Linked DNA regions of Macaca fascicularis. The protein of the gene in region 1 binds, or shares a complex with, the protein of each later gene. Links are inferred from orthologs where the notes say so. Each region holds a gene or a part of one and is shown in the gene's direction. Other genes may lie near its edges.

The links.
Region 2: TAF10 (region 1) and transcription initiation factor TFIID subunit 13 share a complex: the UniProt entries of both Homo sapiens proteins name them as parts of the TFIID basal transcription factor complex. The link is inferred for Macaca fascicularis from reciprocal best matches to the Homo sapiens genes TAF10 and TAF13.
Region 3: TAF10 (region 1) and TAF5 share a complex: the UniProt entries of both Homo sapiens proteins name them as parts of the TFIID basal transcription factor complex. The link is inferred for Macaca fascicularis from reciprocal best matches to the Homo sapiens genes TAF10 and TAF5.
Region 4: TAF10 (region 1) and TAF11 share a complex: the UniProt entries of both Homo sapiens proteins name them as parts of the TFIID basal transcription factor complex. The link is inferred for Macaca fascicularis from reciprocal best matches to the Homo sapiens genes TAF10 and TAF11.
Region 5: the proteins of TAF10 (region 1) and TAF8 are in contact, whole or in part, in a crystal structure (PDB 4WV4), measured with the Homo sapiens proteins. The link is inferred for Macaca fascicularis from reciprocal best matches to the Homo sapiens genes TAF10 and TAF8. Residues at the interface, in NP_006275.1 of Homo sapiens: Pro115, Leu116, Phe119, Leu120, Leu123, Tyr126, Thr127, Thr129, Ile130, Pro131, Val134, Thr135, Tyr137, Tyr138, Leu139, Ala142, Gly143, Phe144, Glu145, Ser147, Asp148, Arg150, Ile151, Leu154, Ile155, Leu157, Ala158, Ala159, Gln160, Lys161; in NP_612639.2 of Homo sapiens: Arg33, Thr36, Leu37, Val40, Ser43, Leu44, Leu45, Ala48, Gly49, Phe50, Glu51, Ser52, Ala53, Glu54, Ala56, Ser57, Thr60, Leu61, Met64, Leu65, Gln66, Tyr68, Ile69, Ser70, Ile72, Gly73, Arg74, Ala76, Lys77, Cys80.
Region 6: TAF10 (region 1) and TAF4 share a complex: the UniProt entries of both Homo sapiens proteins name them as parts of the TFIID basal transcription factor complex. The link is inferred for Macaca fascicularis from reciprocal best matches to the Homo sapiens genes TAF10 and TAF4.
Region 7: TAF10 (region 1) and TAF7 share a complex: the UniProt entries of both Homo sapiens proteins name them as parts of the TFIID basal transcription factor complex. The link is inferred for Macaca fascicularis from reciprocal best matches to the Homo sapiens genes TAF10 and TAF7.

What each region holds. Positions count from the first base shown.
Region 1 is NC_088388.1:59,466,638-59,470,131, forward strand, and holds TAF10 (transcription initiation factor TFIID subunit 10), read left to right. Parts: upstream 1-1,566; 5' UTR 1,567-1,591; coding exon 1,592-1,838; intron 1,839-1,961; coding exon 1,962-2,116; intron 2,117-2,331; coding exon 2,332-2,396; intron 2,397-2,480; coding exon 2,481-2,595; intron 2,596-2,772; coding exon 2,773-2,862; 3' UTR 2,863-2,942; downstream 2,943-3,494. Other genes in the region: scaffold protein ILK, read right to left, coding at 3,173-3,322. UniProt on the Homo sapiens protein: The TFIID basal transcription factor complex plays a major role in the initiation of RNA polymerase II (Pol II)-dependent transcription.
Region 2 is NC_088375.1:125,372,461-125,376,769, forward strand, and holds the start of transcription initiation factor TFIID subunit 13, read left to right. Parts: upstream 1-1,318; 5' UTR 1,319-1,380; coding exon 1,381-1,407; exon of another isoform or gene 1,408-1,581; coding exon of another isoform or gene 1,582-1,582; intron 1,583-2,169; exon of another isoform or gene 2,170-2,267; coding exon 2,268-2,346; intron 2,347-4,309. UniProt on the Homo sapiens protein: The TFIID basal transcription factor complex plays a major role in the initiation of RNA polymerase II (Pol II)-dependent transcription.
Region 3 is NC_088383.1:112,411,940-112,415,645, forward strand, and holds part of TAF5 (transcription initiation factor TFIID subunit 5), read left to right. Parts: intron 1-3,185; coding exon 3,186-3,423; intron 3,424-3,706. UniProt on the Homo sapiens protein: The TFIID basal transcription factor complex plays a major role in the initiation of RNA polymerase II (Pol II)-dependent transcription.
Region 4 is NC_088378.1:136,805,251-136,809,628, forward strand, and holds the start of TAF11 (transcription initiation factor TFIID subunit 11), read left to right. Parts: upstream 1-1,539; 5' UTR 1,540-1,624; coding exon 1,625-1,795; intron 1,796-4,378. Other genes in the region: ANKS1A (ankyrin repeat and SAM domain-containing protein 1A), read right to left, coding at 1-173. UniProt on the Homo sapiens protein: The TFIID basal transcription factor complex plays a major role in the initiation of RNA polymerase II (Pol II)-dependent transcription.
Region 5 is NC_088378.1:129,500,224-129,503,929, reverse strand, and holds part of TAF8 (transcription initiation factor TFIID subunit 8), read left to right. Parts: intron 1-2,393; coding exon 2,394-2,492; intron 2,493-2,816; coding exon 2,817-2,879; intron 2,880-3,706. UniProt on the Homo sapiens protein: The TFIID basal transcription factor complex plays a major role in the initiation of RNA polymerase II (Pol II)-dependent transcription.
Region 6 is NC_088384.1:118,056,976-118,060,681, reverse strand, and holds part of TAF4 (transcription initiation factor TFIID subunit 4), read left to right. Parts: intron 1-421; coding exon 422-544; intron 545-1,965; coding exon 1,966-2,055; intron 2,056-2,835; coding exon 2,836-3,084; intron 3,085-3,706. UniProt on the Homo sapiens protein: The TFIID basal transcription factor complex plays a major role in the initiation of RNA polymerase II (Pol II)-dependent transcription.
Region 7 is NC_088380.1:147,784,379-147,788,823, reverse strand, and holds TAF7 (transcription initiation factor TFIID subunit 7), read left to right. Parts: upstream 1-1,476; 5' UTR 1,477-2,207; coding exon 2,208-3,257; 3' UTR 3,258-3,763; downstream 3,764-4,445. UniProt on the Homo sapiens protein: The TFIID basal transcription factor complex plays a major role in the initiation of RNA polymerase II (Pol II)-dependent transcription.

The sequences.
Region 1 (3,494 bases):
ATGCTATGCTTTTTCCAACCAAGCCAGAATCTGTGTCATCTTTCCACCGCATCTTCAATCAACAAATCCTCAATCAACAAGTCCTAATGACTGCACCTCGTACCTCTTAAATATCTTTATCAGTCCACAAGTCCTTCCAATGATATTTCCCAAGTATATCTAGAACTTATCCACTTATATCCCCACTGCTACTACATTAGTTTAGGGCTACATTCTCTTGAAAAGTACAGCGTCCTTACTTCCGGCCAATCCCCAAATCATCTTCCAGAGTAAAATGCAAATCCCATCAGGCCACTTGGATGAAAACCCTTCAAGGATTACTGGATAGAGTTCAGGCTTTTTATTTTCTTCCCCCAATCATAGCTCACAAACCTTCGTTGCTATTTGTTCCTAAGTAACAAATCATTTTTCCTCCTCCCTCCCCAAACCCCAAGGAACTCTCACTCTTGCTCAAGCTGTTCTGTCCCCTTAATACTACCCCTGATACAAACTGCCTGGTTAATTTCCAGAATTCTTACAAGATTCAGCTCAGAAGTCACCTTCTCTCGTGAATGTTTTGATTCCCTGAGGCTACTTCATTTTGCTATGGCTGAAAAATCCTAGATTTTCTAAACAAAACCTGTTTGAATCTTGGTTCTGATATGGACTGGGAGAGAGACTGGGTCAAGCAAGTTTATCTCCCTGAGGCTGTTTCCTCGTCTGTTAAGTGGGAATATTACCTGCCTTTCATAATCACCAGGGAATAAAGTGGAATAATGTTGATAAGAGTACTTGGCACCTGGAAGTAGGTGGCAGATGTTAATGCCCTTCCTCCCTTGCACTGCGACCCCTGTGTCTACCTCTAGTATTGTAACGACCACATAGTATTGAAATAGCCACTTTACTTGTCTGGCTTCCTTTCCAAGACCGTTGGTGCCTAGAGGACTAGAATCGTGTTCTATTTAACTTTGTATTCCCAGGTCCTAGCTCAGGAGTTGGCAAATAAGAATTAAATATCTGCTACATTGAAAATCTCACGCCTTTCACTCGTTGTGATTTTTGCATACGTTGTCGACTTAGGCTGAAACCCCTCCTCCTTCTACAGCAGCACTGTGGGCCGCCCCACTGCTGCCCCCACCTCTCGGGGCAGTTGGTGGAGAAGGGCGGGGGGCTTTCCAAATCCACTATGAATCCTTACAAGGCTGAATAAGGGAACTTGAAAGGATGCAGACAGGCAGGCAATCCGCAGTCGAGGGATGTAGGGCCCATAAACCTCGAAGCAAGGTCTTGAGCGTCAGACAGAATGAGGTGTCCCAGAGCGGCGGAAGAGTCCCGGACGCACGCTGCTTCTAGTCTCGACGGAATCGCCACCGAGCACCGCAGAGGCTAGGGCGGAATGGCGACGGCAGCGCAGTTCGCCAAGGCTTGGTCTCCGCCCTTCAGCCTATTTCCTCTAACCCGCAGACCCACTACCAGAGGAGGCGGGGAGCGGGCTGGAGAGCACTAACAGTGACAGGCGGGGCGAGTCGAGGGCGCGTGACGTCACCCCGGGGTGTGCGCGGCGCGAGCGGAAGCGGAAGCGGCTCTGTTCGCCGCCTCTCCCACCGGCCCGATGAGCTGCAGCGGCTCCGGCGCGGACCCCGAGGCGGCGCCGGCTTCCGCCGCCTCGGCCCCGGGCCCGGCACCCCCGGTCTCGGCTCCCGCAGCGCTGCCCGCCAGCACCGCTGCGGAGAACAAGGCCAGCCCCGCGGGGACAGCAGGGGGGCCTGGGGCTGGAGCAGCTGCTGGGGGCACGGGACCCTTGGCGGCGCGGGCCGGGGAGCCAGCTGAGCGGCGTGGGGCGGGTGAGGGCCTGACGGGTGAGGGCGAGGGAAGCGTCTGGGACTGGGCCCAGCGGCGGGTGAGGGCAGCGGGTATAGACAGACCTCGCTGGGGCCCTGCGCCTCCCACCTCTGTGTCTCATTTTGCTGGTTCTCCTCCAGCTCCGGTGTCGGCGGGTGGCGCGGCGCCCCCAGAAGGGGCCATGTCTAACGGGATTTACGTACTGCCGAGCGCGGCCAACGGAGACGTGAAGCCGGTGGTGTCCAGCACGCCGTTGGTGGACTTCTTGATGCAGCTGGAGGATTACACGCCTACGGTGGGCTTCCGCCCGAACAAGGCCACCTAGCCTGCTGTCACAACTTTCAGCCACATCTCCGTGCTTTTCAGCACCCTCTGATGTTTGCTTCCGTAGTCGCTCTTGTTTTTGCCCTCTGCTCACCCAAATCGTGAGCTTCCTGATAACCAGGTCTATCCGACATTTCCCTCACCCTCATCCCACTCTGCTGACAGTTCTCTTAATTGATTTCTTAGATCCCAGATGCAGTGACTGGTTACTACCTGAACCGTGCTGGCTTTGAGGCCTCAGACCCACGCATGTGAGTAAACCCAGGGCAGGTTAGTTTTGGGTGCTTGTGCAGTGTGTTGTCCATCTCCTTCTCATCTAAGTTTTTTCTCTCTAGAATTCGGCTCATCTCCCTAGCTGCCCAGAAATTCATCTCAGATATTGCCAATGATGCCCTACAGCACTGCAAAATGAAGGGCACAGCCTCCGGCAGCTCCCGGAGCAAGAGCAAGGTGTGAGGGGAGGCTCATTGAATCACTAATTACCTTCCACAACAGTGGAAGCTTATCCTGCCACCCCTTTGGGGAAACTGAATCCTAGGGGAGGTGTAAAACTTACTCAGGGTCACCCATCTGGGATTGAAGTGTGGGATTCCTGTGCTCAGTTGGTGCTCTTCCCTCTTCCCTCAGGACCGCAAGTATACTTTAACCATGGAGGACTTGACCCCTGCCCTCAGCGAGTATGGCATCAATGTGAAGAAGCCGCACTACTTCACCTGAGCCACCCAACCTAAATGTACTTGTCTGTCCCCATGTCCCCACACCAGCCTGTTTTCATAATAAACTTTATTGTGACAGGCGGGGCTGATCCCTCCCATGTTGGGAGACACCATGTGGCAAGTGACAAAGCTCTGAGCCCGCCCCTTTTGGGGCCACAGTGGTAGGGATGGGGGAAGGGGATGGACCCCATGGCTGGGGTAGTACCATGACTGGAGGCAGGGGAGGCAACCAGAGGTCTGCTGCTTTGGGGAAGTACATTCCCCCAACCATGTCCTGACACCTCTGGAGTTCAGGCAAGGGCCTTCCGGTCCTACTTGTCCTGCATCTTCTCCAGGATAGGCACAATCATGTCAAATTTGGGTCGCTTTGCAGGGTCTTCGTTCATGCAGATCTTCATGAGCTTACACACATGAGGGGAAATACCTGGTGGGATGGTAGGCCGAAGGCCTTCCAATGCCACCTGTGAATACAAGAAAAAACTGAGCCTCACAATTTGAGTCTGTCATGTAGAGAGAAGCCACTGGCCCCTGGGACAGGATAACTGTATATCCGAACAAATATGGGAGGAGCCCAGGCCCACTACAGTTATTTTCACCATAACCAACCACTCCCCCAACACAAATGTATGCTGT
Region 2 (4,309 bases), on another chromosome or scaffold:
CAGGCGCCCGCCACCTCGCCCGGCTAGTTTTTTGTATTTCTTAGTAGAGACGGGGTTTCACCGTGTTATCCAGGATGGTCTCGATCTCCTGACCTCGTGATCCACCCGTCTCGGCCTCCCAAAGTGCTGGGATTACAGGCTTGAGCCACCGCGCCCAGCCGCTTTGTGTTTATTAACAAAGATAGGTTCAAGCCTCACATAACTACTTTTCACTCACCGAATGTTCAGCAGGACATTCAGAAATCGTGTGTATTGCGGGATTTTCTTTATGTAGCATCATCTGTTACACTGTAGGACACATATTTTATATCCCTAGCTCTGGCCTTCCAATGCCTGTGGTTTTCCCAACCATTGTTCCGACCAAAAGCCTTCCCCAATGGACACGGTGGCTCACACTTGTAATCCCAGCACTTTGGGAGGCCGAGGGGGGCAGATCGCTTGAGATCAAGAGTTCCAGACCAGCCTGGGTGATGTGGCGAAACCCCATATCTACTAAAAATACAAAAATTAGCCGAGCATAGGTGGTGTGTGCCTGTAATCCCAGCTACTTGGAGGCTGAGGTGGGAGGATGGCTTGAGCCCAGCAGGTCTAAGCTGCAGTGAACCCGGATTGTGCCACTTCACTCCAGCCTGGGGGACAGTGAGGCTGCGTCTCAAAAAAAAAAAAAAAAAACCAAAAATGAGGCCGGGCATGGTGGTGCACGCCTGTAATCCCAGCTACTCGGGAGGCTGAGGCAGAAGAATCGCTTGAACCCGATAGGCGGACGTTGCAGTGGGCCGGGATTTCGCCACCGCACACTCCAGCCTGGGCGACAGAGTGAGACTTGGTCTCAAAAAAAAAAAAAAAAAAAAAAAACACACACACACAAAAACAAACCTTCACAAAATTTTAAATGCTTAGTTTTGGGACACCATCTCTTGGAAATTTGTGGTGAAGCACAGTATCCCCAGTAATTAACATAGTGCTTAGAAACAGTGGAACCACAACTCTTTAAAATGATTTAAAAGCATTTATGTCAGATAAAGGACCGCTGGCTAGCCCTCCTACGATCCATAGCTTCGCAGTCCCCAAACAGGAAGGCGTGATTCAATGCGCAGTAGCAAATTTAGGGTGACAACGAGATACATCCCACGGAGCCCGTGATTTCCTTTTCTTTGTTAGTTTTCAATTCCTTCAGTGTTACAGGGAGGAGCTCCGGCCTCCTCCGCTAAAGACTGTCGCATTTCCGCCGCTAGGCCGGAAAGCACCACCGTCCTTCCGCAGGCCTCAGTCAGCTAGGCCCAGCTCCAGCCCCGCCCGTCACCGGAAGTGAGGCGACGGAAGTAGCGTAACCCGCTGAGAACCAGCCGGCGGGGCGCTGTGGGTTGGCGGGCTAGTGGGATGGCAGATGAGGAAGAAGACCCCACCGTGAGTGACCGTCTGTGTCCAGAACCTCTCTTTTCTTCACTCCTTCGGGCTCAGTAGCGGAGGCAGAGTTCAGGATCGGATCTGCTTGCCTTAGTCAATTCAGCCGACAGAATTCGGGGACTTCACTCCCTAAGGATTGATCATTTTAGAAAGTGGGGAAGGACATGAAGAAAGAGTAGGTTTTGTGACCCCTTTCCCCTTGATTTTGATCTTTATTTGCCAGACACTGAAACACTTACAGAATCATCAGACGTCAAAACTAACATCTATTAGCGCTCACTATGAACCAACAGTTCAATTGTTAACAAAACTGTACTTACTGTGAAGTAATGGGAAAAGAATGCATTGAAAGTCAGACAGCCTGGATTTCAAAATCTCCATTCTCTCTAAGCAAGTTATTTAACTTTGACAATCAGTTTTCTTGTTACAAAATAGGGTTACGGGCTTACTTAAGGAACGTTTTTAGCACCGTATATGCAAATGCTTAGTAAATATTAGTTTTGCTTAATTGAAAGTCTACAAAGGTAGACTTTGATTCAGTATCAACTGTTTAACAGTAGCAATAGGCCACCTTAGTTGTTTAAAAATAAAACCTATGGTCATTGTAACTCTTACACGTAGAAGCAGTAGGATTATTTGTTAGGAACATTGTAGAAGCCATTTTTGGATGAGTTGGAAATTGGACTCGATACCTAGGCTGCTTACGTGCTAAGGTTTTGTGTTTTTTTTTTTTTTTTTTTTTTTTTTTTCTGCTTCCTTTAGGCTTTCTGGCCTATCTGTTGAAAAGGAAAAAACATTGTTATTATTAAAATATCAAATGCAAGGCAATTATTTGACATTTCTATATATACGTTTTCTAGTTTGAGGAAGAAAATGAAGAAATTGGAGGAGGTGCAGAAGGTGGACAGGGTAAAAGAAAGAGGCTTTTTTCTAAAGAATGTAAGTAGTATTTGACAATGATTTTGTTATAGATGATGAAAACTTTTGGACATATCCTTTCCAAGTACATTTATTGCTTTGAATGTTTCCCTGTAGTGACAATATTCTCAGACTAGCCTATCAAATTCTGTTTAGCTTTTGAATCAGATAGTACCAATCCTAACCCCAGTTATATGTGTGTGTATGTGTGTCTGTGTATAAATTGCTTTTTAGGTGAGCAAATGTAGTTCGTGTTTTAATTTAGGGCAGAAGAACATACCTCCATTAGTTTTCCTCTTGCCTTTGCAGCAGTAGAAAGAGAGGCTTCTTTGACTGTAAGCCACAGATACTAATGGATCCTGCACCAGGTGTTGAGGGAGAGTAGCAAGTGAGTTGGGGCTTGGGCTTTGGACTAAGGCTATGAACAAAGTAAGAAGGTGGTGAACAGCTGGGTGTAGTGGCTCACGCCTGTAATCCGAGCACTTTGGGAGGCTGAGGCAGGTGGATCACTGGAGGTCAGGAGTTTGAGACCAGCCTGGCCAATGTGATGAAACCCCATCTCTACTAAAAATACAAAAATTAGCCAGACGTGCTCGCTTGAACTCAGGAGGGAGAAGTTGCAGTGAGCCAAGATTATGCCACTGCACTCCAGCCTGGGTAACACAGCAAGACTCTGTCTCAAAAAAAAAGAAGAAGGTGGTGAATAGTGTAAGACATTAGAGTGACATGGAGGCTAGATGCAGTGGCTCACGTCTGTAATCCCAGCACTTTGGGAGGTCAAGGCAAGCAGATCGCTTGAGCCCAGGAGGTCAAGACCAGTCTGGGCGACATAGTGAAACCCTCTCTCTACAAAAAATACAAAAATTAGTAGGGCATGGTGGCACGCCCCTGTAGTTCCAGCTACTCTGGAGGCTGAGGTGAGAGGATGGCTTGGGCCCAGGAGGTGGAGGTTGCAGTAAACCCAGATTGCGCCACTGCACTCCAGCCTTGGTGACGGAACCAGACCCTGTGTCCAAAATAAATAAATAAATAAGCAAAATAAATAATGACATGGAGATTATAATGTATTGATTCTGCATCCTACCCCCTCAGTAGATGCTTTTGACCCTTTTTGGCAACAAGAGGAAGGGAGAGCTGCTGCTACTACTGATGGTACAGGCCAAGCCCTGGAACACAGCATGAGAATGTGCTCTCCATCTCCAGTCCTGGGTCCTTTATGTAAAGTTATATCTAAGTATTGAGAGATGAGGCAACACAGATTTATGAATATGGTTTATTTAGGCGGGGTTATATGTGAGCAGTTCCCAAATGCCCTTGAAACTACAGGGTCAGTATATCTTTTTTTTTTTTTTGCAATTAACTGGGCATGGTGGCGTGTACCTATAGCCCCAGCTATTCAGGAGGCTGAGGTGGGAGGATCACTTGTGCCCAGGAGTTCAAGGTTGCAGTGAGCTGTGATCATGCCACTGTACTCTAGCCCCAGTGATAGAAGAGTGAGACCCTGTCTCGCCACCAGCCCCAGCTAATTTTTTGTATTTTTAGTAGAAACGGGTTTCCCCATGTCAGCCAGGGTGGTCTCAAACTCATGACCCAGATGATCTGCCTAACTCGGCCTCCCAAAGTGCTGGGATTACAGGCCTGAGCCACCATGACCAGCCATACCCAGCTAATTTTTGTATTTTCAGTAGAGACTAGTTACACCATGTTGGCCAGGCTGGTCTCAAACTCCTACCCTCAAGTGATCCTCCTGCCTCAGCCTCCCAAACTGCTGGGGTTACAGGCATGAGCCACCACATCCAGCCAGACACTCTTATTTTTTAACCATCCAAATCCTTTTCCATATTTCGTTTCCTCACTAAAGCTGAACATTTCTTATTTCATTTCTCTGATGCTCCTTATACCATTATGTGGTTTTACTTATTATATCAGCATAAGAATGGGATCCTTGTACCAGAGCATCCCAGAGTGATGTTCAGTTGGTTGT
Region 3 (3,706 bases), on another chromosome or scaffold:
ATGTATATGTAAAATGTTTGGTATGGATAAGTTTATGCCTCTGTATGTGTTCCTGACACCTGAGCCACTGCTTTCTCACAGCAACTGTTGCCACAAATCCATGCAGTAAAACTCATATACAATATAAGGTCTCAGAGGTGATCCTGAGCTGACAATAAATGTTTATTGAATTATCCAGTGCAGAGCTTTTAGCCAAATTAATCTGTATGAGGCCTAATCTTTGCAGCATTGCCAGAAATGAAGTATGAATACATAGCATTGTATTCATATCACATTGTAATCCATAAATAGAAATGTGTGCAGATGTGGATTGAAGGCCGGGCGCGGTGGCTCACGCCTGTAGTCCCAGCACTTTGGGAGGCCAAGGCAGGTGGATCACTTGAGGTCAGGAGTTCAAGACCAGCCTGGCCAACATGGTGAAACCCCGTCTCTACTAAAAATACAAAAAAATTAGCTGGGCGTGGTGGCATGTGCTGTTGTCCCAGCTGCTCGGGAGGCTGAGGCAGGCGAACCACTTTAACCCAGGAGGCAGAAGTTGCAGTGAGCCAAGATAGCGCCATTGCGCTCCGGCCTGGGCAACAGAGCAAAATTCCGTCTTTACAAAAAAAAAAAAAAAAAAGTGTTTGAGAGGAATCTTTTTTTAATGTTGAATTTTGTGAATGAACTATAAGATGAATTATATTGTTGGTTATTTTGCTGTAATCTCCTATCTCTTCAGAAACTTGACCTAATTATAGATCATAACTGAGAAATCAGTAAGGAGGAAAAGAGGCCATCAGAGTAACCGAAGAAATTATCACATTTGTGCAGTAAAGAGCGAAGTGTACTATAATGGCAACTTACAAATATTTCCAACAACCAAATTCTGATTTGACAGATGTATTGTTAGGTGGTGCTGTGTTACAAATAAATAGTTATGTTTTCTGTTTTGAAATGCTGGTTATGGAAATTGTTTTAAGCATATAACTATCTTTTTTTTTTTTTTTTTTTTTTGAGACAGAGTCTCGCTCTGCCGCCCAGGCTGGAGTGCAGTGGCGTGATCTTGGCTCACTGCAAGCTCCGCCTCCCGGGTTCACGCCATTCTCCTGCCTCAGCCTCCCAAGTAGCTGGGACTACAGGCGCCCGCCACCTCGCCCGGCTAGTTTTTTTGTATTTTTTAGTAGAGACGGGGTTTCACTGTGTCAGCCAGGATGGTCTCGATCTCCTGACCTCGTGATCCGCCCGTCTCGGCCTCCCAAAGTGCTGGGATTACAGGCTTGAGCCACCGTGCCCGGCCGCATATAACTATCTTTTGAAGATATAAATAGGGCATGGTCCTTCCCACCCTTAAGTGGTTACATTTTATAAGGGGTAAGAGATGTATATAATGTGAAGGGAACACAGGATAGGATATGTTACAGGAATGTTACACAGTGCTTGGGTGGCTCAGAGAACTGGGAATGTTACTGCAGTGCATGGCTTGGTGGTAATGGGTGCCATTTGAACAGAGCGTTGAGAGAAAGTTAATGTAGTTGTTTGATTTGCACATACCATCTTTTATACAATTTGTCTTTAACATAAGGTAGTTCCAGGAGGAATATTGACTCTTCTTGTTATTGTTTTTTTTGTTTTTGAGACGGAGTCTTGCTCTGTCACCAGGCTGGAGTGCAGTGGCGCGATCTTGGCTCACTGCAACCTCTGCCTCCTGGGTTCAAGTGATTCTCGTGCCTTAGCCTCCCGAGTAGCTGGGATTACAGGCACGCGCCATCACACCCAGCTAATTTTTGTATTTTTAGTAGAGATAGGGTTTCACCATGTTGGCCAGGCTGGTCTTGAACTTCTGAGCTTGTGATCCGCCTGCCTCAGTCTCACAAAATGCTGGGCCACCGTGATGGCCTGTTATTGTTATCTTAAGATATGGATGTGCTGACAGGTTTCGGTTTGGGTGACTGAAACAAGTGAAAAAAATTCTATTAAAAGATTATGGCTGGGCGCGGTGGCTCATACTTGGTTTTTTTTTTTTTTTGAGATGGAGTCTCGGAGTCTCGCTCTGTTGCCCAGGCTGGCGTGCAGTGGCGTGATCTTGGCTCACTGCAACCTCCGCCTCCCGGGTTCACGCCACTCGCCTGCCTCAGCCTCCCGAGTAGCTGGGACTACAGGCACCCACTACCATGCCCGGCTAATTTTTTGTATTTTTAGTAGAGATGGGGTTTCACCGTGTTAGCCGGGATGGCCTCGATCTCCTGACCTCGTGATCTGCCTGCCTCGGCCTCCCAAAATGCTGGGATTACAGGCAGGAGCCACTGTGCCCGGCGGCTCATACTTGTAATCCCAGCACTTTGGGAGGCGAGTGGATCACCTCTGGTCAGGAGTTCAAGACCAGCCTGGCCAACATGGTGAAACCCCCCCTCTACTAAAAATACAAAAATTAGGGGGCATAGTGGTGCATGCCCGTAATCCCAGGCATGCACCACCATGCCCTGGAAATTAGTTAGGGACTGGAACAGTAGGCAGGTTCTATTGTTAAAGTGAAGGCATTGAAAAAAAAGAATAGGCTGGTTCTTGGGCCATGTTGAAGATCTTTGTTTACCCTGAGAGCAGTAGGGAGTTGTATTGGGTAGGATTACTCAGGAGGCTGAGGCAGGAGAATTGCTTGAACCCGAGATGCGGAGGTTGCAGTGAGCCAAGATCGTGCCATTGCATTACAGCCTGGACGACAAGAGTTGAAACTCCATCTCAAAAAGAAAGAAAAAAAAAAAGACTGTGTGGGCCAGGTGCGGTGCCTCATGCCTGTAATTCCAGCACTTTGGGAGGCCGAGGTGGGAGGATCACAAGGTCAAGAGATCGAGACCATCCTGGCAAACATGGTGAAACCCTGTCTCTACTAAAAATGCAAAAATTAGCTGGGCATGGCGCATGCCTGTAGTTCCAGCTACTTGGGAGGCTGAGGCAAGAGACTCACCTGCGAGGCGGAGGTTGCAGTGAGCTGAGATCTCCATACTGCACTCCATCCTGGTGACAGAGCGAGACTCCCTCTCAGAAAAAAAAAAAAAAAAAGATTATGTGATTGTGTTGAGGAAGAGACGTTGGGAAGAAAGAGACAACAATCTGAGCAACAACTCACCTCTGGGCCTTAACAAAACAGCCATAGTCACATGGTCATAATAGGTCATTTTCTTAAAAGTTGTTTTTTGTTTTTTAAACAGTTGGAAGTGTTGCTGTGGAAGACCAGCCAGATGTCAGTGCTGTGTTGTCAGCCTACAGCCAACAAGGAGATCCCACAATGTATGAAGAATACTATAGTGGACTGAAACACTTCATTGAATGTTCCCTGGACTGCCATCGGGCAGAGTTATCCCAACTCTTTTATCCTTTGTTTGTGCACATGTACTTGGAGCTAGTCTACAATCAACATGAGAATGAAGCAAAGTCATTCTTTGAGAAGTATGTACATTTTTACATATATATATACACACATAGTGTGTGTGCGCGTGCATATATGTTCACATGTGTAACCACACAAATGTAAGACTGCAACTTAAAATGTACGTTGTGAAGGAGAGGTACCTAAGGCTATGAGAACTTAAAATGTGGGGTTTAATCTAGCTGGAGAAGTCAGAGAAGGCTTCCAGAGGAGATGATACTTGAGGTGAGATCTGATATCTGAAGATTAGGTAGGAGTTAGCCAGATGAAGAAAAGAGGGAAAAGTATGTATTAAAGCTCTCT
Region 4 (4,378 bases), on another chromosome or scaffold:
AGGGGGTGGCTGGAAGAGCCGAGGCCGCCGCCGCCGCCGCCCCCAGAGCCGCCGCCGCCGCCGCCGCCGCCGCCCCCAAAGCCAGAGGAGAGCCGCTTCCCGGACAGCAGCTTCTCCACCGCCGGGAGGTGCCCGGTGCGGGCCGCCTCCAGCAGCTCCTGCTCCTTCCCCATCCCCAGGGCCGCCACCCGCTGGACCCCCCTCCCCGGGGCTGCAGCCGAGCCTGCTCGGGCTCCCAAACTTTCCGTCTCCGGGCAACGCACCCCCCAAACCGGCTGGGGACACCACCCCCCCTCCCTGCCTTTTCTCCACGAGCGCGTCACTTCCGGGATCCGGCGTCACGCGTCACCGCGCCCCCGCGCCCCGCCCCCTAGCTCACCTAGCTGGGCGGGGCTCCGCGGACCAGCGCAGGTGGATTTTGCTGTGCCGAGACAGGCCTCACGGGTTATGGGGACAGCGCCTTGTGGGTCCCCATTATATAGGTGGAAAGGGACAAACAGGCCCACCTGTACGCGCCTCCCGAAGTGCGCTCCTTCCCTAAACGTTTTGGGAGCTCCTGGGACAGGAAATACGGCAATTCGTCCAGGCAGCGCAGAAACAAAGAGATAAATATGGTAACGCGCACCTACATTTCCAAGGACATTCTTTAAGCACGCATAAATTAAATATGTAATAGGTGCTGGGACCTAGTCATACCCAGGTGAATAAAACGCCCTCCCCCTCGTATCTCTATGAGGGAAGAGAAGAAAATTTTAAAATAGAAATATCCTCACCACTTCATCCTCCCAGTACATGAACTAGTTCGTTAAAGTGAAACGTTCGAAGGAGACACCTTCCTCTCTTTAGGCTTTCCTCTTAGTTTTGGTAAGATTAACCAAAATGATAGAAAAGTGTCAGACTTGTAGAAACAAACCTCAATCTTGAATACTTGCGAACTGAAAAAAAATCATTTAATTGGATAGAAACTATGTGTGTTTTGTTCCCTGGTACTAGCACTGTTTCTAAATCGAAGTACGCAGTCAATAGTTGTGGATGAATAAATGAATTGGATAAATTCTGCTCAAGCTAGATGACTTTTTGTTGTTAAGGTGCTTGCTGAATGGAGCGGAAATGCTAGCAATTCCACGTACACACAGACCCGCGGTTTCGGGCCAGTTGAAATACACAAGGTTGAGTCTTGCCTGAAAGTTTACCAATCCCGGGTAGCCTCATTCCACGACACCGCCATACAACGGAACTGAGTTTTCTCCCGATCCCCCAACTTTACTCTGAGGGGTTAACGAAGGGATTAACTGGTATTGAATTTTTAGACAGGCGAAAAGGAAAAAGTTATTTAGTAAACAAAACTGCGCTCCTTCACAAGTGCTGGTTTCCTAGCTAGGAGGATCCATAGTCTGAGCTCTTTACGTCCAATTTTCCCGCTTCCCACTGTCGCCAAACCAAAGTTAAAATGAGTCCTCTAGTCCTCTACGCGCGCCTCAAAATGACCCCTCAGGAGAGCGGTAGGGGTGATGTCATCGCTGCGCGACGACAGGAAGTAAGATACTGTCCTGTGCAGCTCGGGGTTCCGAGCTTCTGCCTCAGACATCGCCGCGATCTCCTCTCCCCTCCAATCCTATCCGTGATGGACGATGCCCGCGAGTCGCCCTCCGACAAAGGTGGAGAGACAGGGGAGTCGGATGAGACGGCCGCTGCGTCCGGGGACCCGGGGGCTACCGACACGGATGGAATCCCAGAGGAAACTGACGGAGACGCAGATGCGGACTTGAAAGAAGCTGCAGCGGAGGAAGGCGAGGTAGGAAGAGATGTATCGATGAGGCTGAAGGAATACCCAGAGATCGTGTTACTGGGTGCTTGCCGGGCTTCTGGTTAGTCCCTCCCAAGTTACGAGAACTCGAACTCACCAGAACTCCCTCCAGATCGTTAATCTTGAGGGGGAAGAGAGCGGACGACCAAACAGAACTCCAGTGCTGGTTCCGTTCCAGAGGCTCAAGCACTGCGTTAATATTTTTAGTCTTGTCAAGGGATTAAAGCTACTTCTAAGGGAGTTTTAATAGCCTATTGGCTTTAGTGGTGAGGAAACTGGGATCCAGTGTCACACTGAGACGCAGTGCAAGAGCTAAAACCCAGGATTCGTAGCACCCCTTTCACCGCAATATGGTTCGTCTTAGATGTTAAGACAACTTTGTTTCTTTATAGGAAGGAGGGTCGATCAAACCTGTCAAAGGGAGATAGACTTTTATAAAAGTGTCGCCCGGGCTGTAGTACAATGGCGCGATCTCTGGCTCACTGCAACCTCCGCCTCCCGGGTTCACGCGATTCTCTTGCTTCAGCCTCCCAAGTAGCTGGGATTACAGGCTCACACCACCATGCCCGGCTAATTTTTGTATTTTTATTAGAGACGGGGTTTTACCATGTTGGCCAGGCTGGTCTCGAACCCCTGACCTCGTGATCCGTCCGCCTCGGCCTCCCAAAGTGCTGGGATTACAGGTGTGAGCCACAGCACCCGGTGATCAGGGACCCATCAGTTGGGTCTGGTGTTTTTATGCTACAGAGAGTTCAGCAGTGTTGCCTAGCTGAACATTGGTCAGGACCAGAAACTCATCGTTCTCTGGATTACATTTCTGGAAGTAGAATCTTGGGGTCTTAGAGCTAGAAGGGATTTAAGAGATCGTGGGGTGAACAGTAGATTAGATGGAAATAGCCTTTCAGTGTATAAAGTTGCATAAAAATATATAAAGTAAGAACTTTTAGAAAAAGAGAAAATTTGGCCGGGTGCAGTGGCTCACGCCTGTAATCTTTGGGAGGCGGAGGTGGGTGGATCGCCTGAGGTCAGGAGATCCCCAATATGGGGAAACCCTGTCTCTACTAAAAATACAAAAATTAGCTGGGCATGGTGGCAGGCGCCTGTAATCCCGGCTACTTAGGAGGCTGAGGCACAAGAATCGCTTGAACCTGGGAGGCAGAGGTTGCAGTGAGCCGAGATCGCACCACTGCACACCAGCTTGGGTGCCAGAGTGAAACTCCGTCTCGAAAAAAAGAAAAAGAGAACATTTGACAAAAGTATTTTAAGGCAGGTTTCTTTTTTTGTTTTTGTTTTTGTTTTTGAGACTGAGTACTCGCTCTGTCACCCAGGCTGGAATGTGCAGTGGCGCGATCTCGGCTCACTGCAAGCTCCTTTAAGGCAGTTTTTGTTGGTTTGTTGAGACAAGGTCTCACTCTGTCACCCAGCCTGGAGTGCAGTGGCACAGTCTCTGCCTCCTGGGCTCAAGCAACCCTCTTATCTCAGCCTCCGCAGTAACTGGGATTGCAAGCATACTGCACCACGCTCAGCTGAAGTTTTTGTATTGTTTTGTTTTGTTTTGTTTCGTTTTTGAGACGGAGTCTCGCTCTGTTGCCCAGGCTGGAGTGCAATGGCGCAATCTCGGCCTACTGCAACCTCCGCCTCCCAGGCTCAAGTGATTCTCCTGCCTCAGCCTCCCCAGTAACTGGGATTACAGGCACGTGCCACTGTGCCCAGCTAATTTTTGTATTTTTAGTAGAGCCAAGGTTTCACCAAGTTGCGCAGGCTGGTCTTGAACTCCTGACGTCATGATCCATCTGCCTCAGCCTCCCAAAGTTCTGGGATTATAGGCATGAGCCACCGCACCTGGCCAGCTAAAGGTTTTTTAAATATTGTTTTGGTAGAGACAAGGTCTCATTATATTGCCCAGTCTGGTCTCCAACTCACTGGGCTGAAGTAATCCTTCCGCCTCAGCCTCCCAAAGTGCTAAGATTACAGGTGGGAGCCACCATGCCTGGCCAAGAAGGAAACTTTAAAACAGGTGTCAAGGACAGCAAGGATTTGAATAATTAGCTTGGTACACTAGAGAGCTCACTACATATATAAATTTGCACCGAACAGAGGATAAAATTATGTTGTTTCTGAAACACTTTTAAAAATCAATCATGTACTAGACCATGAAGAAAAATATGAATTCTTAAAAGTAGATATCATAACAGGCCACATCTTGTTAATGCAATGCATTAAACTTGAAATTAACTACAAAAAGCTTCTCCCCCACCAAAAAAGAACCCCCTGGAAATTTTAAACTATTTTTTAAATAGCCTTTAGACTAAAGAAATTAACAGAACACTTTATCAAATGATATGGGATTTGGCCAAAGCTTTATTTAAAGAAAAATGTATAGCCTTACATATTTTTATTAACAACCAGAAGATACTGCAAATAAGCACCTGACTCAAGAGACCAGATAAAGGGCCTAGTGGAGTAGGTCACACCTACAGACCTAGCTACCTGGCAGGCTGACACGGGAGGATCACTTGAGGCTGCAGTGAGCTATGATCCAGCCTGGGCAACAGAGTGAGTCTGGGGAAA
Region 5 (3,706 bases), on another chromosome or scaffold:
CCACTGCGCCTGGCCAGAATCTCTTTTTATTAATAAACATTGAGGACCCCAAATAGCTTTTGTATATGTGTATTTGCCACGTTAGAAAAAACATTTTGGGACTGGGCGTGGTGGCTCACGCCTGTAATCCCAGCACTTTGGGAGGTTGAGGTGGGTGTATCGCCTGAGGTCAAGAGTTTTGAGACCAGCCTGGCCAACATAGTGAAACCCTGTCTCTACTAAAAATACAAAAAATTAGCTGGGTGTGGTGGCGGGCACCTGTAATTCCAGCTACTCTGGAGGCTGAGGCGGGAGAATTGCTTGAACCCAGGAGGTGGAGGTTGCATTGAGCCAAGATCACACCATTGTACTCCAGCCTGGGCAACAAGAGCGAAACTCCATCTCAAAAAAAAAAAAAAAGAAGAAGAAAAAGGAAATTTCGAAAATAAGAATGTACGATTACATATTCTGTTATTCATCAGACCCATGATGTCATCAAAAGTCACATAGACTCAGGAAAACTACCTGAGAGAATGAGAGTGAAAAAGTCAAATAATGACTTAATTTTATCATGAAAATAGTTTTGACCTGTGTGGACTTTAGAACAGATTTTGGGGCCTACCACAGGTTCCACTACTTTTTGAACTTTGTCCTAAAGGAATGAATTAATAGTTCCCAAGAGATAAGAATGCAGTTCTTGGAACAGTCTTGGAATTTAGAGTTTAAAAGTCATGTATAGAGGCTGGTGTTAAGTGACTTGCTCAGGGTAGCAGGGGAATTGGTGGTAGGTCCCCTGTTAGACACCCTTCCCTGTCAAGCACTACTTGCTTTTATTTTCTGAGCCACTTAAAATCTGAGCCAACATTTTATCCCTAGAGCAGGAGTTCTTTACCTTTTGAGGCCCCTTTATACATTTGATAAAATCTGTGGACCCATTCCCCAAAAAATGCTTTTTTTGTGTGTAAAATTCAGCACAGCTTCAGAGTATTCGTGAAACCTCCCGTCCGCCTTGGAAGCTCATTCACAGAACCGAGCTTCAAAACTCCATCTTAGAAACCTTCCCCCCCTTTTCCCCAAAGGACTTTAGTGTGACTCTTAAATAGAGGTTCAGCTTCAGGCAGAAGAAACAAAAATTGCCCATCAGAGAATAAGACCGTTTTGTGTGTGTGGTGGTGAGATACACATAACCAAATTTATCATTTTAACCATTTTTAAGTGTACAATTCAGTGGTATTAAGTATATTCACAATGTTGTGCAACCATTCACAGTATTTCCAGAACTTTTTCATCATTCTCAACAGAAACTCTGTAAACATAAACAGTAATTCCTCATTCTCCCTCCCCCTCCATTCCCTGGTAACTTCTAATCTACTTTCCATCTCTGGATACCTCATGTAAGTAGAATCTTTATTTGTCTTTTTGTGTCTGCCTTATTTCACTTAACATAATGTTTTCTTTTCTTTTCTTTTCTTTTCTTTTTTTTGAGATGCAGTCTCGCTCTGTGTCCCAGGCTGGAGTGCAGTGGTGCAATCTCGGCTCTCTGCAACCACTTCTACCTCCCAGGTTCAAGCGATTCTCAGCCTCCTGAGTAGCTGGGATTATAGGCGTGTGCCACCTCACCTGGCTAATTTTTTATATTTTTGGTAGAGATGGGGTTTTACCATGTTGGCCAGGCTGGTCTCGAACTCCTGACCTCAAGTGATCCACCTGCCTCAGCCTCCCAAGTGCTGGGATTACAGGCATAAGCCACCACACCTGGCCCTAGCATAATGTTTTCTATTTTTTTCTTTTTCTTTTTTTCTTTTTTTTTTTAAGGAGTTCTCGCTCTGTCGCCCAGGCTGGAGTGCAGTGGCGCAATCTCTGCTCACTGCCACCTCCCCCTCCCGGGTTCAAGCTATTTCTCATGTCTCAGCCTCCCGAGTGGCTAGGATTACAGGCACCTACCACCACCCGTGGCTAATTTTTGTATTTTTAGTAGAGATGGGGTTTCGCCATGTTGGTCAGATTGGTCTCAAACTCCTGACCTCAGGTAATCCACCCGCCTCGGCCTCCCAAAGTGCTGGGATTACAGGCCTGAGCCACCACACCTGGCCTAGCATAATGTTTTCAAAGTTCATCTATGCTATAACATTACCAGAATTTCCTTCTTTTAAAGGCTGGATAATATTCCATTGTGTGTATATAGCACATTTTGTTTGTTCATTCACCTGTTAATGGACATTGGGTTGTTTCTACCTTTTGGCTATAGTGAATCATGCTGCTGTGAACATTGGTGTACTAGTAGCTGTTTGAATCCCTGCTTTCAATTCATTTGGGTATATACCTAGCAGTGGAATTGTTGGCTTATCTGGTAATTCTATGTTTAGCTTTCTGAGGAACCGAGAATAAGTTTTATGCCTTTAATCCCCTCTTAGACATTTCAGAAATTGGGAGAAGTGCCAAGTCTTACTGTGAGCACACAGCCAGGACCCAGCCCACACTGTCAGATATCGTGGTCACACTTGTTGAGATGGGTGAGTATACCTTCAGTTTCCAGTTCTTCCGTGCAACTGGAGAGAGAAGTTCCTAGGAGTCAGGCATGTCTGCTAAGTGTTCTTCGTTTCCCTCATGGTTCTCTTGATTTGCTTTGAGCTTGAGAGAGTTATCAAGAGAGATTCCTCTGAACACATCTAAGAGGCCTCATAATTCCCTGTTGGGGAATTCTGCCAGAGCTGCTTTTTGCGTGGCTGCAAGGTCATTGAGTTGAGAGTTTAAGCCATTTGTCCATAATACTACTATTCTTTCTGTATTCAATATCCAGTGGTCTGGGCAGTGATTTTTGTTTTCCTGTCTCTTAGGTTTCAATGTGGACACTCTCCCTGCCTATGCAAAACGGTCTCAGAGGATGGTCATCACTGCTCGTAAGTGACTTTGAACTGAGGTACCTAGCAATTTATCAATTAATGCTTGTGGAATGAAGTAATTGACTATGGTAGGGATTGGATTAGTAGCTACTTCCTTGTTGCAGGCTCTCTTCCAATGTTTGGGGCTACCTACAATATAATCTTTATTTGGGCTAGTGGGATTAGCATGTGAAATTCAGTCACCAAAAGGTAAACCACCTTTGAGATATTGCTGTGTTTCTTGTGCTCTAGCCCCAGAAGGGCAAATGATGCTGCTTGGAAAAATGAAAGTTCTTGTTCTCCTTAGATTAAGGGTTGGTACATTGTGGACTATGGGCCAAACGCAGCCTGCCTCCTGTTTTTGTAAATAAAGTCTTATCAGAATGCACCCATATTTACTTATTATCTGTGGCTGTTTTCATGCTATATTAGCATAGTTTAGTTGTGGTAGAGACTGTACCACATGCAGAACCTAAAGTATTTATTATATGGCCCTTTACACAAAGTTTGATGACCTCTACTTTAAGTAAAACTGGGTGCCATAAGCTGAGTGGCGAGTAACCAGTTTGGGCTTGTAGGACCTGGAGAGAATTAACTGGATTTTTTTCTTTTCTTTTTTTTTTTGAGATGGAGTCTCGCTTTGCTGCCCAGACTGGAGTGCAGTGGCACAATCTCGGCTGACTACTGCAACCTCTGTCTCCCAGGTTCAAGCTATTCTGCCTCAGCCTCCCAAGTAGCTGGGATTACAGGTGCCCGCCACCACACCCGGCTAACTTTTACATTTTTAGTAGAGGCAGGGTTTTACCATGTTGGACAGGCTGGTCTTGATCTCCTGACCGCGAGTG
Region 6 (3,706 bases), on another chromosome or scaffold:
TCTTGGGTTTCTTTGCTGCGCACTTTTCGTTGCTTTCATGTCTGCCTCCTATTTGTTTCCTTCTGTGTCCATTTGGATTGGCATAGGTTGTCCTTATGGTCAGCGACATTGCAGCAGGCGTCTTCGCAGAGTCTCTTTTCACTTTTTTCATTATTTGCATAGCTACATTCCTAGACGTGGCCTTGCGGGACTGTGGGAGATGCTGACTTCGGTGGCCATGTGACTGATGTGGCTGGGCCGCCCCTCAGAGCATGGCCCGGGGTTCCACTCCCATCCACAGGCCAAGAGGTGGTGCGTTTTCTTGAAGTTTAGAGGAGAAATATATGTATCTCTTATACATACGCATATTTTATTAACCAAAGGCTGTGACAAAAATCTGCCTTTTAAGATTTTTCACTTATGTCTTTTTACTTTAATCCAGGAAACTATGGAAAACGTGAAGAAATGTAAAAATTTCCTATCTACGTTAATAAAACTGGCTTCATCTGGCAAGCAGTCTACAGAGACAGCAGCTAATGTGAAAGAGCTCGTGCAGAATTTACTGGTGAGAAACCTTGACTTGACATTTCATTCCCTTTTCCCTAAGGCCTGTTGCATAGGAGAGACACCTATTGCTGCTGTGACTTGTGCCTGGGAGGCCTGTGCCAGCAAAGGGAGAGCTCCTCTGGAAGGCTGCAGGCAGAGGGGGGGGTGCACACCTGTCAGAGGTGTGTGTGGCCTAGCTGAGGAGACTCCTTCCTGGGGCTGGGTGTTCTGGGGCTGGTGCCTGGTGGTCTCCTGGGCTTTGCCATTTTCTGGTGCCTGTGTCCCTTGTCTGTGGCTCTCTTCTCCTCTGGCTGCCCCCACCATGCTGCACTCTGGCCAGGGTCCCTGGCAGCTCCCTTCTGGTCCTCTCCCCACTCCTGTGTGACCTCTTGTAAAATTCCCAGGTGTCCGCAGTCCCTGCTGGAACAGGCATTCTGCACCCTGAGCCAGCAGAAGCCCCCTCCCCGTGGAGCAGACCAGCTGAGGCACATTCGTGCTCCAGTGGCAGAGCCGTCCCCCCACCCCTGCCCCCACCCCTTCCGAAACCTCTGTCGCAGTGAACAGCACTCTGTCTCCTGGCCAGAACGTGGGAGGATTCCTGGCGGCCTCCCCTCTCCTTAACCCACAGTCCCAAGCTCTACATCTCTACTCATGGCCGAACTCTTGGCTCTCCACCTTGGCTCTCCCCATGGCTGTCTCATGGCTCAGGGGTATGCTGGCCTCAGTGGGATGGCCTGGGGATCTGGAGTGGCCAGTCTTTCCGTGCCTTCTCCTTGCCCGCCTGACCATGTCTTCCTGAGTCTCTCAGGGTTCAGTCCAGGCACCGCCTTCCCACCCTTGTCGCCTGTCTTCCCGACCTTTATGCCACGCTGGCCTCTGTTTCTGAAACAGGATCTGGCCCTCTTGCTCTGGGCTCCCTTTTATCTGACTGGACTCTGGGCACCGTGACTGCTTGCAGGGGTGAGCACAGCTGTTGTCTGCTCCTGAAGGTGCTGATGCCCTGACTGTCTGGATCCTGTCTGTGTGGCCCCTGGCACGCTGTGACCTCCTGTAGCACTGTGCTTGCAGGGCTGGCTTTGATAATGGAGTTACTTTTAGGCTGATCTGCCTCCTAGCAAAATGCCTGACACCGAATAGGTGCCTGGTAAACACTGAGTAAAGACTGGCATTGAGTAAGAGGCTTAGAAAAAGACGAGAAGTAGACAGGTGACCCTCCCAGGAGGAGACGTGGTCCGCAGCTGGCTGCACTGCGGTGTCCAGGGTGAGCGCCTGTCACACGTGTATCTGTGGAAGGTGTAGCACGCAGACTTTCCCATCTCCTCTGTCCAGTGAAACTCGGGGCGGAATCAGCCGTAAAATACAAGACCAGAGTGATGCGGGATTCAGAAGTGTGTGTGGAATCTCATTCACCAGAATTTCAACATGGATTTTATTTTTAAGGATGGAAAAATCGAAGCAGAAGATTTCACAAGCAGGTTATACCGAGAACTTAATTCTTCACCTCAACCTTACCTTGTGCCTTTCCTGAAGGTAATTTCGAAGGCCCGGGTGCTTGACGAGCAGCAGGGCCAGGGAGGGGTGGGGCGCAGATGCTCCAAGTGCACAGGGGTGAGGATGCTCCAGGCACGGAGGGTGCACAGCGCCTGTGCTCCCTGCGGGGGTGGGGCCGGGGACTCAGTGCCTGGGGACAGAATGTTGGGTGTTTTCTGTAAAGCAGGAGCTCCCCTGACACTGTGGCGTTGTGGTTCTGTTGTGCGCAAGGCGGTGAGAAGGGCGCGCGCTTCCTGAAACCGAGGGGAACAGGGAATTGGGGTGGTGTTTGCAAAACTGGATAGGACCAAGGGTGTTAACAGTGTCAGGCTGTCTGTTGGATAATCATTGGTATGAGCACATTTTAAAATTTAATACATATATTTGTACATATTTATGAGGTGCATGTAATGTTTTGTTACATTCATAGAATCAGGGTATGTGGGGTCTATCCCTTTGAATACTTATTTCCATGTGTTGGGAACATTCAGAATCTTCTCTTCCCGTGATGTTAACATATTTTAAAAACTATTTTAAAAATATGGCTCTTTTTGTTTGTTTTCTTAAACACATTTTGGACATTTGCTATCAGGAATAATCCCGCCTAGTGGGAGGGCGGGATGGGGTCCTGGCCCCTGACATCCAGACGTGCTGCTGTGAGGGCCAACATCCGTCTTAACTCAAAAATTTTCTGTAAAAGTTGATATTTCTGAATTTTTAAGCAAGGAAAACTGACGCATGAGCAACCCCCTGACCCCTCGTGTCTGTCTTTCCACCCAGAGGAGCTTACCCGCCTTGAGACAGCTGACTCCCGACTCCGCGGCCTTCATCCAGCAGAGCCAGCAGCAGCCGCCACCGCCCGCCTCGCAGGCCACCACTGCGCTCACGGCTGTGGTGCTGAGTAGCTCAGTCCAGCGCACGGCCGGGAAGACGGCGGCCACCGTGACCAGTGCCCTCCAGCCCCCTGTGCTCAGCCTCACGCAGCCCACACAGGTCGGCGTCGGCAAGCAGGGGCAACCCACACCGCTGGTATGGAAGGGGCACCTTACTGGTCCACACAGCCCACCGTGCCTCTGCTCCCTCCAGCTTCTTAGATAAATTGGCCATGGTTCAGAAACCTTTTCCAAGCATGCAGGAAGGCTCCTGCTAGAGGAAGCTTAGGCATTACCTTAGTTAAAATAGAAATCAGGGTTGAGGCCCTGGGATTTTGTGTTTTGTCTCAGTAAAATGAAATAGTTGAATTGGCTTTGAACCACTGGCACATCCCCGCCTTGTCTTGTCTAGGGATGTTACTGGTGTAAACGAATGCAGTGTGTTTTTAGAGGATCTTGTAGATAGATGTTCTCTTGGGTTAGGAGCAGCGGTCCAAGCGTAAGACACGGGCACCCGCGTGGGACAGGTGGGCAGGAGACTGGAGACGGTAGCAGCTCACAGCGCAGGGTGGATTTAGGTGGGTCCCGGGAGGCAAAGCTGCGGCTGCTCGTAGCGGTTCACGTATGTGCAATGTGGATCTGGCTTTCTTGGTTTTGTAGTCACGACGTTTGCTCTGGAGCTAGAGAAAGGACGTCTTCGCCAGAAGAGTTACATTTCGAGCACATTCCCTTTCACGGGCAGAGGGATTCACCAAACATAGAAGGGCAGTTTAAAAAAA
Region 7 (4,445 bases), on another chromosome or scaffold:
TTAAGACTATGATCTTTCTAGATAGATCAATTTTTTCATTCAATTAGCAAATATTTTTTGTGTATCTCCCATGTTCTGGTACTAGGCACTGGGACACAATGACCAGGATAGAAAAAGATCACTATCATGGAGCTTTCAATCATACAGGAATAAAGTGAATTTTGGAAATGTTAATTACATCTTAAGAGAATTCTCTTAAATTTAGGGGCAATTGGTAATATTTTAGAGGATAGAAATTAAATGTTAATGGCCTTGATGCTCTACCAGATATTTTAAAAATAAATGGAAATAAATAGAAATAAGTACCAACTGTTACCCAGTTATGTCAAAATACTAAAAATATGTGTTGATGAATACCTGACCCTCCAAAGAAAAGACAAGCACAAAACAGCAAAATAGTAGAGGTGGAGTTAAAAAAAAAGTCAAAGTATTTAAAATTACTTGTACATGAGAAGCAGGAAACAATACTTCAATTATGTCTACTTTAACCAGATGCTCAGTCTATCAGACAATTCTGTCCAAAATGAACCTGTGCTTGCAGAAGAACACTTCCTTCTCTGCTTACATTTACATCTAAATCAAGCATATAAAAAGGAATCACCCTTGTTTCCTCAGGAGTATTACAGAACAGAAGGAAACCCAGAGGCACAATTCCCCTACAGGGAATTATATTAAACAAAATATAGACTTTGGGCCAGGCACGGTGGCTCACACCTATAATCCCAGTACTTTGGGAGGCCAAGACAGGCAAATCACCTCAGGTCAGGAGTTGGAGACCAGCCTGGCCAACATGGTGAAACCCCTTCTCTACTAAAAATACCAAACTTAGCTGGGGTAGTGGAAGGTGCCTGTAATCCCAGCTACTCAAGAGGCTGAGGCAGGAGAATCGCTTGAACCCTGGAGGTGCAGATTGCAGTGAGCCAATATTGTGCCACTACACTCAAGCCTGGGTGACAGCCTAGACTCCATTTCCAAAACAAACAAACAAACAAACAAAGAGAGGTTTAGAATTATATAGTGAGCTCCATGTCCTCCTCACTCCACTGATTTGGGTTCTTTAAAATCCATTGTATAGTAGCTACACATTCTTGTATTGGCACCAGATTGGCTAGACCCTAGGAAGCATCCGAGATGTTTCCAGAAGCAAAGACGCTTACTGCCAGGCGTCCCCCATCTCCCGGAATCACCCGGAAGTCTAGAAGCCATCCGGCCCCACAGCGATCCCTTAAAAGTGCTGGCTTAGCGGGGGACGAATCCGTGTCTTTCTTGTAACTTCCAAGCGCTAAATAGTTTGAAACCAACAGCTCTTCGAAAACACTATCATTTTCATCCTAGAAAAGCAAGTTCTCGCGAAAAGACGAGTTTCACGCTGGGCAGCGTAATTGCGCTATTGCGCCTGCGCGCGCCGGGGCTCCGCCCTTCCGGCCGGAGGGGCTGTCACTCACATCCACCTCCCGCCCCGCGTCGTGACGTAGCACTTCCGTTTTCTCTGGGCAAGCGGTCGAACGGAGGGCCGGCGAGGTGCCGGGTCTGGTTCTCCGAGCTGCGCCTCTCGGCAAGATTTCGCGTTGCCCATCCTGGGCTTTCATCAGTAATCGATAGTGGATCACTCTGCCAAGCGGCAGGAAGAATTAAGGAAACGACAAGGAGACGCTTGGCTGCCTCCCGCTTTGCTCCTTGCGGCCTCCTCTTCCCTTCGCTCCGGCCCGGTGAAACTGAACTTATAATCGTCACTGGATTGTAAGTACCCGAGGCGAAGAGAGCTCACTGAGCCCTGATGTTTTGAGTGTCTGTTCCGGGAGAGTTTGTAAATTGAGAGTATCTCTGCTGGCCTTTCTGGGCCGAAAACCGTTCCGCGGGAGCCGCCATTTGCTTTCCTGCTTCCTAGCTAGGTAGCTGTCTCCGCGTTGTCGGGCAGCGGCACCTAGAGGTTGGGACTTGGCATTGCATCTGATTTAATGAACTTAAGTCTGTGAATAAGCCTTTGTGTTAACGACTGGTATTTGGTCACAGCATATTTAGAGAAAAGACTTGGAGCTTAAATAAAAACGAAGGCAAAATAGACGCTAAGCTGCTGATCTACAGAGAACTTCTTGTAATTAAAATATTTCAATTCATAGCGAACTGGTGTTTTAAATTATTGCAGTAGCTGGAACTTTTTACGGTAACCATCATTTATTGGAGAAGTGAGTCACAAAGAAATAAAAATGAGTAAAAGCAAAGATGATGCTCCTCACGAACTGGAGAGCCAGTTTATCTTACGTCTGCCTCCAGAATATGCCTCTACTGTGAGAAGAGCAGTACAGTCTGGTCATGTCAACCTCAAGGACAGACTGACAATTGAGTTACATCCTGATGGGCGTCATGGAATCGTCAGAGTGGACCGTGTTCCATTGGCCTCAAAATTGGTAGACCTGCCCTGTGTTATGGAAAGCTTGAAAACCATTGATAAGAAAACCTTTTACAAGACAGCTGATATCTGTCAGATGCTTGTATCCACAGTTGATGGTGATCTCTATCCACCTGTGGAGGAGCCAGTTGCTAGCACTGATCCTAAAGCAAGCAAGAAAAAGGATAAGGACAAAGAGAAAAAGTTTATCTGGAACCACGGAATTACTCTGCCTCTGAAGAATGTCAGGAAGAGAAGGTTCCGGAAGACAGCAAAGAAGAAATATATTGAATCTCCAGATGTGGAAAAAGAAGTGAAACGATTGCTGAGTACAGATGCTGAAGCTGTTAGTACTCGGTGGGAAATAATTGCTGAAGATGAAACAAAGGAGGCAGAAAATCAAGGCCTGGATATCTCTTCTCCAGGAATGTCTGGTCACAGGCAGGGCCATGACTCATTAGAACATGATGAGCTTCGGGAGATATTCAATGACCTCAGCAGCAGCAGTGAGGATGAAGATGAGACCCAGCATCAAGATGAAGAAGATATAAACATCATTGACACTGAGGAAGATCTGGAGAGACAACTACAGGACAAGCTAAATGAATCAGATGAACAGCACCAGGAAAATGAGGGAACCAATCAGCTGGTTATGGGAATTCAGAAGCAGATTGACAACATGAAAGGCAAGCTCCAAGAGACCCAGGACAGGGCAAAACGACAAGAGGATCTCATCATGAAAGTGGAAAATCTGGCTCTCAAGAACAGATTTCAGGCTGTACTGGATGAGCTCAAACAAAAGGAAGACCGAGAAAAGGAGCAACTCAGCTCTTTGCAAGAAGAGCTAGAATCACTCCTAGAGAAGTAAAAAGAACTGATTCTTAATTTCAGTGTTCAGACTGATCAGCATTAGAAAATTCTTGGCTTTATTACTTGTACTGGATATTAACACCTTGCACTTCCTAGTCCCTCTAATGCTGTGTGTTCTGTTAAGTTCTTTCATTTGTTTATAGTTTTGTTTTTCAGCAAATTTACATTGTTTTGCTAGGTGTTCATCCTATAAGAAGCAGGATTGTATAGGCAGAAAAATGATAGTAGGAAAGTTGCAGGATTAGTGGAATGTATGGTTCAACCTTAATTATAGCTCCACTGCAGGACTTTGCTGTTTCTCCATTTTCTAGAAGCTGCTGTTGCTGCCTTATGATGACATGAGATCAATAAGAAGAACCTAGTCTAGAGACAGTGATGCTAGTTTGCATATGTTTTCCCATGCAATAGCTGTTTTCCCAGTTACTCAAAGCAGTTTCCCATATGTAGAGATGCAAATTTTATTAAGTTGTTTACAATACAATAAATAAAAGCATCTGTTTTTCACTTTGTAGTGTATCTTGTTCTTTCATGGTTGGTGGGAGTCAGGTCCCTTTTGAGGTGGTTTTGTGGTGGAGTTTAGTGACTAAGAAATTTGATCCAGTTCTGCAGGTAGAGGCAGTTTGGTTTATGAAAAAAAGCAACACAGCAGGGGTAAAGAAATTGGGAATTGTCATGTTTGCATCATATTAAGATTCCAGTTCTATCTGATCTACTTGAAAGCTGGGAAACATTAGATACAGAGCTTTCTTAAACTACCCTAATTTTTGTAGATGAAGGCCTTCGTGCCTTTTTTAAAAAGCTTACTAAATCTACCTGCACAAAATGTTGGAAACAAAGCAGTGGTTATCAAGTGCAGTCCAATGAATCATTCCATTGGTTTGGATTAAGATTTTATTTCTATTTTTCTTCAGTTGAGTTCTTATAATTAATAATCTGAGAACTGAGGTCATTTATCAATGTCATTTCATCAAAATTGCTCATAAAGTAAGTCGGTACCAAATTTCTCATGCTTTAAAGATAATCTAATGCCTCACAACATGAGCTATTTTTGAAAAATCAGTTACTGATAAAAGAGGTAGAGTTGTATGCAATTTGTTTCTGACAGGTTGGTTTATGAGAAGCTTGGGTTTGAAAATAAAGTCCTTTTTTTTTTTTTTTTTTTTTTTTGAGATGGAGTCTAGCTCTG